3 linked regions of the Macaca mulatta genome follow. Each later gene encodes a partner of the first gene's protein in a complex. Links are inferred from orthologs where the notes say so. Each region holds a gene or a part of one and is shown in the gene's direction. Other genes may lie near its edges.

What was found.
Region 2: GTF2E2 (region 1) and POLR2F share a complex: the UniProt entries of both Homo sapiens proteins name them as parts of the TBP-based Pol II pre-initiation complex. The link is inferred for Macaca mulatta from reciprocal best matches to the Homo sapiens genes GTF2E2 and POLR2F.
Region 3: GTF2E2 (region 1) and GTF2H4 share a complex: the UniProt entries of both Homo sapiens proteins name them as parts of the TBP-based Pol II pre-initiation complex. The link is inferred for Macaca mulatta from reciprocal best matches to the Homo sapiens genes GTF2E2 and GTF2H4.

Annotation. Positions count from the first base shown.
Region 1 is NC_133413.1:32,393,540-32,397,190, reverse strand, and holds part of GTF2E2 (transcription initiation factor IIE subunit beta), read left to right. Parts: intron 1-2,255; coding exon 2,256-2,363; intron 2,364-3,651. UniProt on the Homo sapiens protein: Recruits TFIIH to the initiation complex and stimulates the RNA polymerase II C-terminal domain kinase and DNA-dependent ATPase activities of TFIIH. Both TFIIH and TFIIE are required for promoter clearance by RNA polymerase.
Region 2 is NC_133415.1:13,537,654-13,540,431, reverse strand, and holds the end of POLR2F (DNA-directed RNA polymerases I, II, and III subunit RPABC2), read left to right. Parts: intron 1-1,504; coding exon 1,505-1,576; intron 1,577-2,032; coding exon 2,033-2,123; 3' UTR 2,124-2,207; downstream 2,208-2,778. UniProt on the Homo sapiens protein: DNA-dependent RNA polymerase catalyzes the transcription of DNA into RNA using the four ribonucleoside triphosphates as substrates.
Region 3 is NC_133409.1:152,144,776-152,148,526, reverse strand, and holds the start of GTF2H4 (general transcription factor IIH subunit 4), read left to right. Parts: upstream 1-1,387; coding exon 1,388-1,524; intron 1,525-1,785; coding exon 1,786-1,890; intron 1,891-2,278; coding exon 2,279-2,410; intron 2,411-2,996; coding exon 2,997-3,093; intron 3,094-3,184; coding exon 3,185-3,273; intron 3,274-3,489; coding exon 3,490-3,601; intron 3,602-3,751. UniProt on the Homo sapiens protein: Component of the general transcription and DNA repair factor IIH (TFIIH) core complex, which is involved in general and transcription-coupled nucleotide excision repair (NER) of damaged DNA and, when complexed to CAK, in RNA transcription by RNA polymerase II.

The DNA of each region.
Region 1 (3,651 bases):
TGATGAACCTATGCTGGCAAATGACCACTCTAAGTTCATAGTTTACATGAGTTCATTCACTCTTAGTGGTGTTCTTTCTGTGGGTTTGGACAAATGTGTAATGGCCTATGTCCACCACTATAGTTCTCAGGGCTCTGCTTGTTCATCCTTCTCTCCCCTGCAACCCTTGGCAGCCACTAAACTTTTTTTAATTTTTAAATTTTTATTTATTTATTTATTTATTTTTGAGACAGAGTCTTGCTCTGTTGCCAGGCTGGAATGCAGTGGCTTGATCTTGGCTCACTGCAACCTCCGCCTCCCGGGTTTAAGTGGTTCCCCTGCGTCAGTCTCCTGAGTAGCTGAGACTACAGGCACGTGCCACCATGTCCAGCTAATTTTTTGTATTTTAGTAGAGATGAGGTTTCACCATGTTGGCCAGGATGGTCTCAATCTCCTGACCTTGTGATCCTCCCGCGTCGGCCTCCCAAAGTGCTGGACTACAGGTGTGAGCCACTGCATCTGGCCTGCAGCCACTGAACTTTTTATTGTCTCCGTGGTTTTTGTCTTTTCCAGAATGTCAGTAGTTGGAGCCATACAGTATGTAGCCTTTTCAGATTGGCTTCTTTCCCTTAGTAATACGTATTTAAGGTTTCTCCATATTTTTTTCATAGCTTGATAGCTCATTTCGTTTTAGCTCTGGATAGTATTCCATTGTCTGGATATACCACAGTTTATTTACCCACTCAGCTACTGAAGGACATCTTGGTTGCTTCCAGCTTTTGGCAATTATGGATAAAGCTGTAATAAGCATCCTTAGTGGATTTTTGTATGTACATAATTTTTTGGCTCATTTGGGTAAATACCAAGGATCATGATTGCTAGATTCATCAAATGGTAAGAGTGTATTTAGTGTTGTAAGAAACTGCTGAACTGTCATTCCACAGTGGCTGTGCCATTTTGCACACTCTTCCTGTTCCTTTGCATCTGCTCTAGCTTTTGGTATCTACGTGTGTGTGTGTGTGTGTGTGTGTGTGTGTGTGTGTTCATTGGATAGGCATGATACATATGTGTTTTAACTTATTACTTTGTCCTGGACATCTTTTCAAATTAGCACATAGAGAAATTTTACATTTACTTTGTGAACATCAGTATAGTGGAATGGATGTGCTGTGGTTAATCTATCTTCTGATTATGGACACTTGGGTTATTTCTAATATTTTCTTTTTATAAACAATGCTACAGTGACCATAAGTCACTTTTCTTTTCTTTTTTTTTCTTTTTTTTTTAAATTTGAGTTGGAGTCTTGCTCTGTCACCCGGGCTGGAGTGCAGTGGCGTGATCTCAGCTCACTGCAAGCTCCACCTCCCGAGTTCACGCCATTCTCCTGCCTCAGCTTCCCGAGTAGCTGGGACTACAGGCACCCACCACCATGCCTGGCTAATTTTTTATATTTTTAGTAGAGATGGGGTTTCACTGTGTTAGCCAGGACGGTCTTGATCTCATGACATCGTGATCCGCCTGCCTTGGCCTCTCAAAGTGCTGGGATTACAGGTGTGAGCCACTGCGCCCGGCCCGTAAGTCATTTTTCTATGTGGTACTGGTATTTCTGTAGGATAAGTTTCTAGAAATAGGATTGTTTGGTGAAAGTTGAGTATCTTTTCCTATGTTTAAGGTCATTTTTGTAATCTGCACGTTTCTGTCTTTGGGTCATTTTCTGTTTTTTTTTTTTTTTTTTTTTTTGAGATCTTGCTCTGTCTCCCAGATCTCAGCTTTCTGCAGCCTCCTTCTCCCAGGTTCAAGCGATTCTCCTGTCTCAGCCTCCCAAGTAGCTGGGATTACAAGCATGCACCACCATGCACGGCTGATTTTTTTATTTTTAGTAGACATGGGGTTTCACCATGTTGGTCAGGCTGGTCTCGAACGCCTGACGTGAAGTGATCCCACCTGCCTCAGCCCCACAAAGTGCTGGGATTACAGCCGTGAGCCACCATGCCTGGCCTATTTGTTAGGTTTTTGAAGCTCTTGAAATATTAGGAAGAATTAGCTCTTGGTGATATGAGTTGCATATATTTTTTGTCAGTTTATCTTTTTATTTTATAGAGCAATGAGTTTCAACTCCGTTCTGATTTCATAGTCTGTGGCTCTTCGTCACTATAATTATACTACCTGGAATAATACATGTTTTTCATTCCTGAAGATTTATGTACACGTAACTATGATTTAATGCATCTAGCATTTTAAAACTGTCTTCTAATAACAGTTTCTTCACTTGATAGACACGGCATCAGCGAGGAGATACGCATCCTCTAACCTTAGATGAAATTTTGGATGAAACACAACATTTAGATATTGGACTCAAGCAGAAACAATGGCTAATGACTGAGGTGAGAATTTAGTTGATTATCAAGAGAGATTTCCTGTAACTAGAATTTTTTTTTTTTTTTTTAGGCAGTCTTGCCTAAAAAAAGAGTCTTGCTCAGGCTGGAGTGCAGTGGCGTGATCTCAGCTCACTACTGACTTGGCCTACCGAGTAGTTGGGATTGCAGGCATGCGCCACAATGCCAGGCTAATTTTTGTGTTTTTAGTAGCGATGGGGTTTCACCATGTTGGCCAGGCTGATGTTGAACTCCTGACCTCAAGTGATCGGCCCACCTTGACTTCCCAGAGTGCTGGGGTTATAGGCGTGAGCCACCGCACCTTGCCTAGAATGTTTTAATATGGTGAAATCTGATAATGCTTTTTACTTTTTCTTAAAAGAAATGTTGTAGGGTCTTTGTTTTTTGAATGTACACATTTGTAAGATTGATTTGTTGGTTTTCACTTAATTTTATGTATCTATTTCAAAATGTTAAAGGTAAGACTTCTGTGTAAAGGTTGTAAAGAAGTCATTGTACCAGTTCCACTTATGTTTTTACAGATTAATTAATGCTTATTTTGTATTGCCAGATTTATAATTTGTATGCTTGTAAATTGAATTGTTTTTGTTTTAGAAAATTTAAAGCATAAGATACTGCAGGGATAGGAAGATATTTTGTTGCATAATTACTGCTCTTATGGCTTGATGTGGAAAAAAGTCGTGAATGCTGTGTATGAACACACACCATTTGAAGAAACCCCAGCACAGTCAGTGACCGTGCTAATTTGGAAATAAATAGCATTTAAAAATTCAGATGTTCACTGCTTTTGAATTTAAATGCGAAGTGAAAACTAAGAAGACTACTTTCTAGGACCAGAGAGAGATTCTAGAATCCAAATGTAAAATTCCTAACGTATAATTCATTTATTTTTTTACCACGCAAAATATAGGTCTTGACTTTTATAATGTAGCATGACCATTAATTAGCATAATTGTAGCTCATTGTATTAGTGATGTACAAACAATGGTAATCCACATTTAAATTTGCTGGTTTAGCTAACCTTGAGAGTTCATAGACTACCAACATATAGTTAACATGACTTTGATCATTTTACTATTCTATTCTCCCTTTTTTCTTCTTCCTGTGTTTCTTCTCTCTCTCCTTTCAGGGTCAGGCTGGCAGCTGCAGAAGAAAATATATAGGGTTGCTCTTTTTGAAGAGCTTTCCTTCTGATACTAGCTGTACAACAGAACTGACTAGAAACATAATTATATTCAGTAATTCCTGCATTCCTACTCAGTTTCATTCTCAAGCT
Region 2 (2,778 bases), on another chromosome or scaffold:
TTAAAGCTTTATATTTTGGGAAAGTTTGAATACTTATTGAGAGAGGATATAGGGAAAGTTAAATCTTCCATCTCTGCCCTTGGGAAATTTTCAGGCTTTTGGGAGTAATATAAATTGAAATATTTAGTAATAAAATCAGTAAGCTGGTAGCTCTCAGACTAGCTGATTATCAGAATCATCTGGGCAGTTCTGCAAATGCAGGCTCTCAGGCCGCTTCACTAGAGATTCTGTTCAGGGATTCTGGAGAAGGACCCGTGAGCCTGTATTTTTTAGCATGCTCTCCTGTTCATTCTGGATGTGTTAGTGTGAACCTAAGCTGGAATAATCAAGACTGACTTCCTAGAGGAGATGGGCCTAGAATTGGCATCCCTTTGCTTGGTGGTAGTCTCCACTGTGGGCCAAGTGTTGTGCTGGGGGCTAGACCTCCGTGGTGAATCACATGTGGTTCTGGGCCACCAGGAGCTCATGGTCTAATGTGGAAACTTTCCAAACAAGTAGTTACAGTTCAGTGAGATTGGTGCCAAGAAAAGTATATCCTGACTGACTTGGGGTACTGAAGAGTCAGCACACGATTTCCAGGATGGAGACATCCGGACCTCTTGCAGGCTTTTAGGGAGATGAAGAGCTTGTAAGAGCACACAAAAGGGAAACAACATGGCTCGTCTAGGGAACCAGAAATAGTTTGGTATGGCTGGAATGTGGGGTAAATACAGGAAAGTAGCACGGGACTGTGCTAGGAAGGCGAACAGGGACCAGACTGCACTCTGGCCTGATAGCCAAGGGGAGTCATAGCAGTGTTGTAAGCAGATGAGTCCCTGGACTGCCTGCTGGCCTCAGGTGAAGGGTAGGGAGGGCTGGGCAGGAAGGGCAGGGCTTCTACTGAGGTGTTGTGGCTATAGAGAATGGAAATGAGGCTGGGTTTCATCCCAGCAATTTGGAAGGCTGAGGCAGGCGGATTGCTTGAGCCCAGGAGTTTGAGACCAGCCTAGGCAACATGGTGAAACCCCATCTATACAAAAAATTAGTATAGCTGGTGGTGTGTGCCTATAGTCCCAGCTGCTTGGGAGGCGGCAGGAGAATTGTTTGGACCTGGGAGGTGGAGGTTGCAGTGAGTCGAGATCTTGCCATTGCACTCCAGTCTGGGCAATGGGAGTGAAACTTTCTCTCCAAAAAATAGAGAGAGAGAGAAAATAGAAATTGAAATGAGGGGCCCTGGGCACTGAGGCAAGGCTCTGGGGTTGGAGCAGTTAGAATGGTGTGCCTTTGCACACGCCACCCTTTCCACCAGGACACTCTGCTGTGGCCGCTGGGCTCAGGCGTCTGCGATAGGCCTCTGCCAGGGAAGATCTCTGGCAGTGCCCCTACACACCACTCCCTACTGTGCCTGTCTACCTAGAAGATGATGTTTCTAGGTGGGGATCAGGATGCCGTTCCACCTTCACTGCCTGTTAGGCCCTTCTCCCTGGGTTTGTAGTCTCCCCAACACCTGTGCGTATCCCTACAGGATGTGTGCCCCTGTGATGGTGGAGCTGGAGGGGGAGACAGATCCTCTGCTCATTGCCATGAAGGAACTCAAGTAAGTCACTCAAATCATGGTTCACTTCTCCAAATCTCTGGGAGGCATCTGTTGGGTTCTCTGTTGCACCCTTTTCTCCCACTTCCCTGGCTGAAGAAGTTGATGCTTATTCCTACAGATCATTAGGAACAGCTCACCAGGAGGTAGGAGGAAGAGAGAAGAGGAGGCAGGGAAAGGGGGGAGGGCACTGATGAGACCGGGACCTTTTCTGGCTGTTGGAGTTTCCCTGTTCCTGCTGCAGGAGGCCTTACCAATAATTCTATCACTCTTCCCCCTCTTGTCTGATATAAAAACTTTCTTTTTCTTGTAATTGCTTTCTTACAAAGTACACTCATCAGCCCCAAGAGGCTGCTCCTAAGACTTCTCTTTCCTTGTGTTTTGCACACAATCTGTTCCTTCTGCGGCAGAGCTGGGGTCACCAGCCCTCATGTACTTGTGACTTTTCCCCTGCCACAGGGCCCGAAAGATCCCCATCATCATTCGCCGTTACCTGCCAGATGGGAGCTATGAAGACTGGGGGGTGGACGAGCTCATCATCACCGACTGAGCTGGAGTCATCTTCCTGCCCTTGCCCAATTTTCATTCCCACTTTATATGTGTAAATAAAATATTCAACTTTCCAACCCCCTTCCCCTCTGCTTATCTGCGATGTCACCACCTTTTGCTTCCCTGTTACCGCCATGCTGCCTGGAGCATACACCTATTCCAGTGGCCCTGTGACTGTCAGCTCCTTAAGAAGCACCAGAGGCCCTTAGCCCCTTTGGATCCCCCACATCCTTCCCTCCATCTCCCTGTTCCCCAGAGCAAAGGCTGCTGCAGGGGAGACACCTCAGCTGCCTTCCCAGCAGACAGACGAGTCTTTGTGCCCAGGGAGCTGGTTGCCACGGAAACCCCCAATTTCCTTTCCAGTGGGGACTGGCTGCAGGGGCTTCTCCCTTCTCAGGAGTATCACAGAGCAGGTCTCATCAAGCCACCCATTGTTTCCTAAGGACCTGCTTCGAGCCTCTTATCGTGGGCTCGGATCCCCTTTCAGGAGCAGTGCCCCAGCAGGAAGCGTGGGGGTGTGCTGATCTCCCACCGTCCCCAGGCAGAGCCCTGCTGGGCAAGTCAGCGGCTGAAGCAAGGACCGAGCACCTGCCTACCCCTGCCCCCATGCCTCTGTCCCCACTCCTCCTCAGGACTCTGCCCACACGCTGTCCTCT
Region 3 (3,751 bases), on another chromosome or scaffold:
CGCCACCACGCCCGGCTAATTTTTGTATTTTTAGTAAAGACGGGATTTCACCATATTGGCCAGGCTGGTCTCGAACTCCTGACCTCGGGTGATTCGCCCGCCTCGGCCTCCCAAAGTGCAGGGATTACAGCAGTGAGTCACCGCGTCCGGCCCGGAGTGTGCATTATCCCAATTTTACGGGGAGTAATTGTGCTCACGGAATCCAGTTTTGTGGTCCCTAAGTCTAATCGGTTCACCACCAAGTCGCCACAGCGCGCCTCCGCACGGAAGCCCTCCAGGCACTTCTACTTTCCCCGACCCGCCTCCCGCTCCATCGGGTTACATGCGCCGTTAGCAGCGTGGGCGGAGTTGGTTCTGGCAGAACCAACTGGTCCGGCTTCTGGTGTCTCCCGCTCTCTCAATTAAAAGCCGGCTCCTTGCCTTTCGGCTTCCCCACCGTGCCTTTCGGGATTTGTAGTCAGACGCACTTCAGCCGGCTCTAAGGAGAGCAAAGACAAGACTCCAATTCCCAGCATCCCCCGCGCCGGGAGTGTGCATCGTCTATTCTAATCCTCTTCACTTTTCCACTCCTCCCCTTACCTCCCTTCTCTTCTGAATTCTCCATTCTGGGCTCTTGCCTGTGAAATCTTTCGTCGCTTTCCCCATCTTTTCTTCGCATTTTTTCACCATCTTTCCCTCAGTTTCCAGGAGCCAATGCGAGACTTTGGCTCCGATTAAGCGACGGCCCGAGACTCGGGGTGCGCGAGGAGGATCGACAGAGTGGTGAGGGGACCTAGGAGGGCGGGAGTGGGAGAGGTATGAGAGAGACAGGTGAGTGAGAGGCGAGGAGTGGGAGGAAGGCAGGGAGAAGCTAGGAGATCGGAAGGCGTGGGTCAGGGTGAATGGGGTGAACTAGACTTGGGAAGGGAAAAGAGGTGGCTTTAGATTTGGGAAGCATGGAGGGGAGAGGTTACCGCCGTACTTAGCAGAAGTGGGCTAAGAGATAGAAGATAGGAAGTTCGGGTAGATTTGGAGCTTATAGACTGATCTGACCAGGAGGGATGGAAGAGAGAGGTGTGGGCTCAATTTTCTTTGTCTCTGTTTAGCCGAAGATGAGACAAGTCATTGAAATACAAAATGATCTTGCAAACACAGGACAGTTGACAATTCTGTCACTTGGAGCAGAGGAAAGACTGGAGTTGAAGGGCAGAAACAGGGTGAGGAGGCAAGAAAGGGATGGAGATTGGTCAGGTTTTTGAGAAACCAGAGGAATTGAGTGTCATGGGAAAGGAGGCCACAGAAAAGGTGGGGTTATTGTGGGGACTCATGGATCTGGAATCAGAAAGGTCAGGGGTGACACTGGCATGGATGGTGGGGGTGCGCTTCTGATGTCTGCATTCCTCAGGTGATGGAGAGCACCCCTTCAAGGGGACTGAACCGAGTACACCTACAATGCAGGAATCTGCAGGAATTCTTAGGGGGCCTGAGCCCTGGGGTATTGGACCGATTATATGGGCACCCTGCCACTTGTCTGGCTGTCTTCAGGTGAGGATCCCCTTCATGGCAGGGAAATGTAATGGGGTCTGCGGACTGGAATAAAATATAACAGATAAAAGTGTAGCAGGCTGGGGTAGGGGTGGGGACTCGGGGTGCGGCTTGGAAATTGCTCCAAAGTGTGGGGGCCAAAACAGCAGGACTGGTAAAGTTGTGGTGGAGTGAGATGAGATGTTTGAGAGTTAATTGAGGGCAGAGATGCAGATACAATGCAGCTTCTGATATTAACCTTTGACCTCTGTCCCTGTTCAGGGAGCTCCCATCCTTGGCTAAGAACTGGGTGATGCGGATGCTCTTTCTGGAGCAGCCTTTGCCACAAGCTGCTGTAGCCCTGTGGGTAAAGAAGGAATTCAGCAAGTAAGTCTCAGCCAGATACAAATTTCTCAACAGCTACATTTCCCAAACTACTGTTCCTTGGAGCACTTCCAGGACGTATTAATAGGTATATCACAAAACTTAAAAATAAATACATTTGGGAAACTCTGCATACTGCCTTTTCCCTTTTATTTATTTCCCAGCTGACCTCTTGCTTTCAGATGTATCTTCCCTCTTACAGAGTTATGTGTGATATCTGTAATAAGGCTCTGATAGGTAATGCAGTAAAGAATTTGTCTTCAGATACTAATATCACTCTGTGGAACAGTGTTCCAAGGATCAGCAAGTTCAGAACAGGCAGAGAGGTGGCTTTTATGGTCCTCCTTTTTGTTCTCCAAATACCCTGCTCACCTCTCTGCTTCTGTTCCAGGGCTCAGGAGGAAAGTACAGGGCTGCTGAGCGGCCTCCGGATCTGGCACACCCAGCTGCTCCCAGGCGGGCTCCAGGGCCTCATCCTCAACCCCATTTTCCGCCAGAACCTCCGCATTGCCCTTCTGGGTGGGTATGTCACTTCTCTCTCTTCCTAAGCTAGGGCAGGGGAACTGCTGCTTATTAAACCGCTAATTACAGTTTGGGAGGGGGAGCTCCTGGGGGCCTCCCCGGAACCTTGTGGTCTCCACGTTGGGAGCTCCTTTAGGAGTAAGTTGGATCAGCTGCAGTGTGTGGTGTAGGAAATGTCCCCCACTCATGGCCCCTGAGGATAAGGGTGGAAAGATGGCAGAAGGGTGGCAAGGAACACAGACAGGGTTCCTTACTCTTTTTTTGTTGTTTTGTTTTGTGTGTTTTTGAGACAGAGTCTCGCTCTGTCACCCAGGCAGAGTGCAGTGGTGCGATCTTGGCTCAATGCAGCCTCCACCTCCTGGGTTCAAGTGATTCTCCTGCCTCAGCCTCCTGAGTGACTGGGATTACAGGCAACCACCAGCTAATTTTTTGTATTTTTTGTAGAGATGGGGTTTCACCATGTTGGCCAGTCTGGTCTCAAACTCCTGACCTCAAGTGATCCGCCCATCTTGGCCTCCCAAAGTACAGGGATTACAGGTGTGAGCTCCTGGCCAGGGTTCCTTACTCTTGGCCCATCCTGGCCTTAGGGGGAAGGCCTGGTCTGATGACACAAGTCAGCTGGGACCAGACAAGCATGCCCGGGATGTTCCCTCCCTTGACAAGTATGCCGAGGAGCGATGGGAGGTAAGCACTTGGGACTGTGTGTGTCTCTGCTTGTGCTTCTACTTCCCATGGCCCTTGGGGCATGGTCTCCCTGTTCTCTTCTGTTCTTCAGGTGGTCTTGCACTTCATGGTGGGCTCCCCCAGTGCAGCTGTCAGCCAGGACTTGGCTCAGCTCCTCAGCCAGGCTGGGCTCATGAAGAGGTGAGGAAACCGGAGGTATAGCAGCTCTCTGCAGTGCCATCTCCTTGGGTCCCTAAGAAATGGTATCTGCGGCTAGTCAAGCTCAGAGGACATTAGCTGGAAAAGGCAAGCTGAGTAGAATACAGCCAGAGATACAAAGAAAAAATGTGAGCGGACAAGTGGGGGTAGTAGTCTTTCTCTGCATATCACCGTCATTGTCCCGGTCTTTGTCTGTAGTACTGAACCTGGAGAGCCGCCCTGCATTACTTCCGCTGGCTTCCAGTTCCTGTTGCTGGACACGCCGGCTCAGCTCTGGTACTTTATGTTGCAGTATTTGCAGACAGCCCAGGTGAGGACGCCGGGGCCACTTGCCAGCATGCTCTGCTCCTCTCAGGTCTCACTGAGAGATTCCTGCCTACAGACTGTTCCCTGATTTTCTCTTCTCTGTCCCTTTCTTCCCATTGTCTCCCTCCCATCCCTCCTCCTTTGTCTCTGCCTC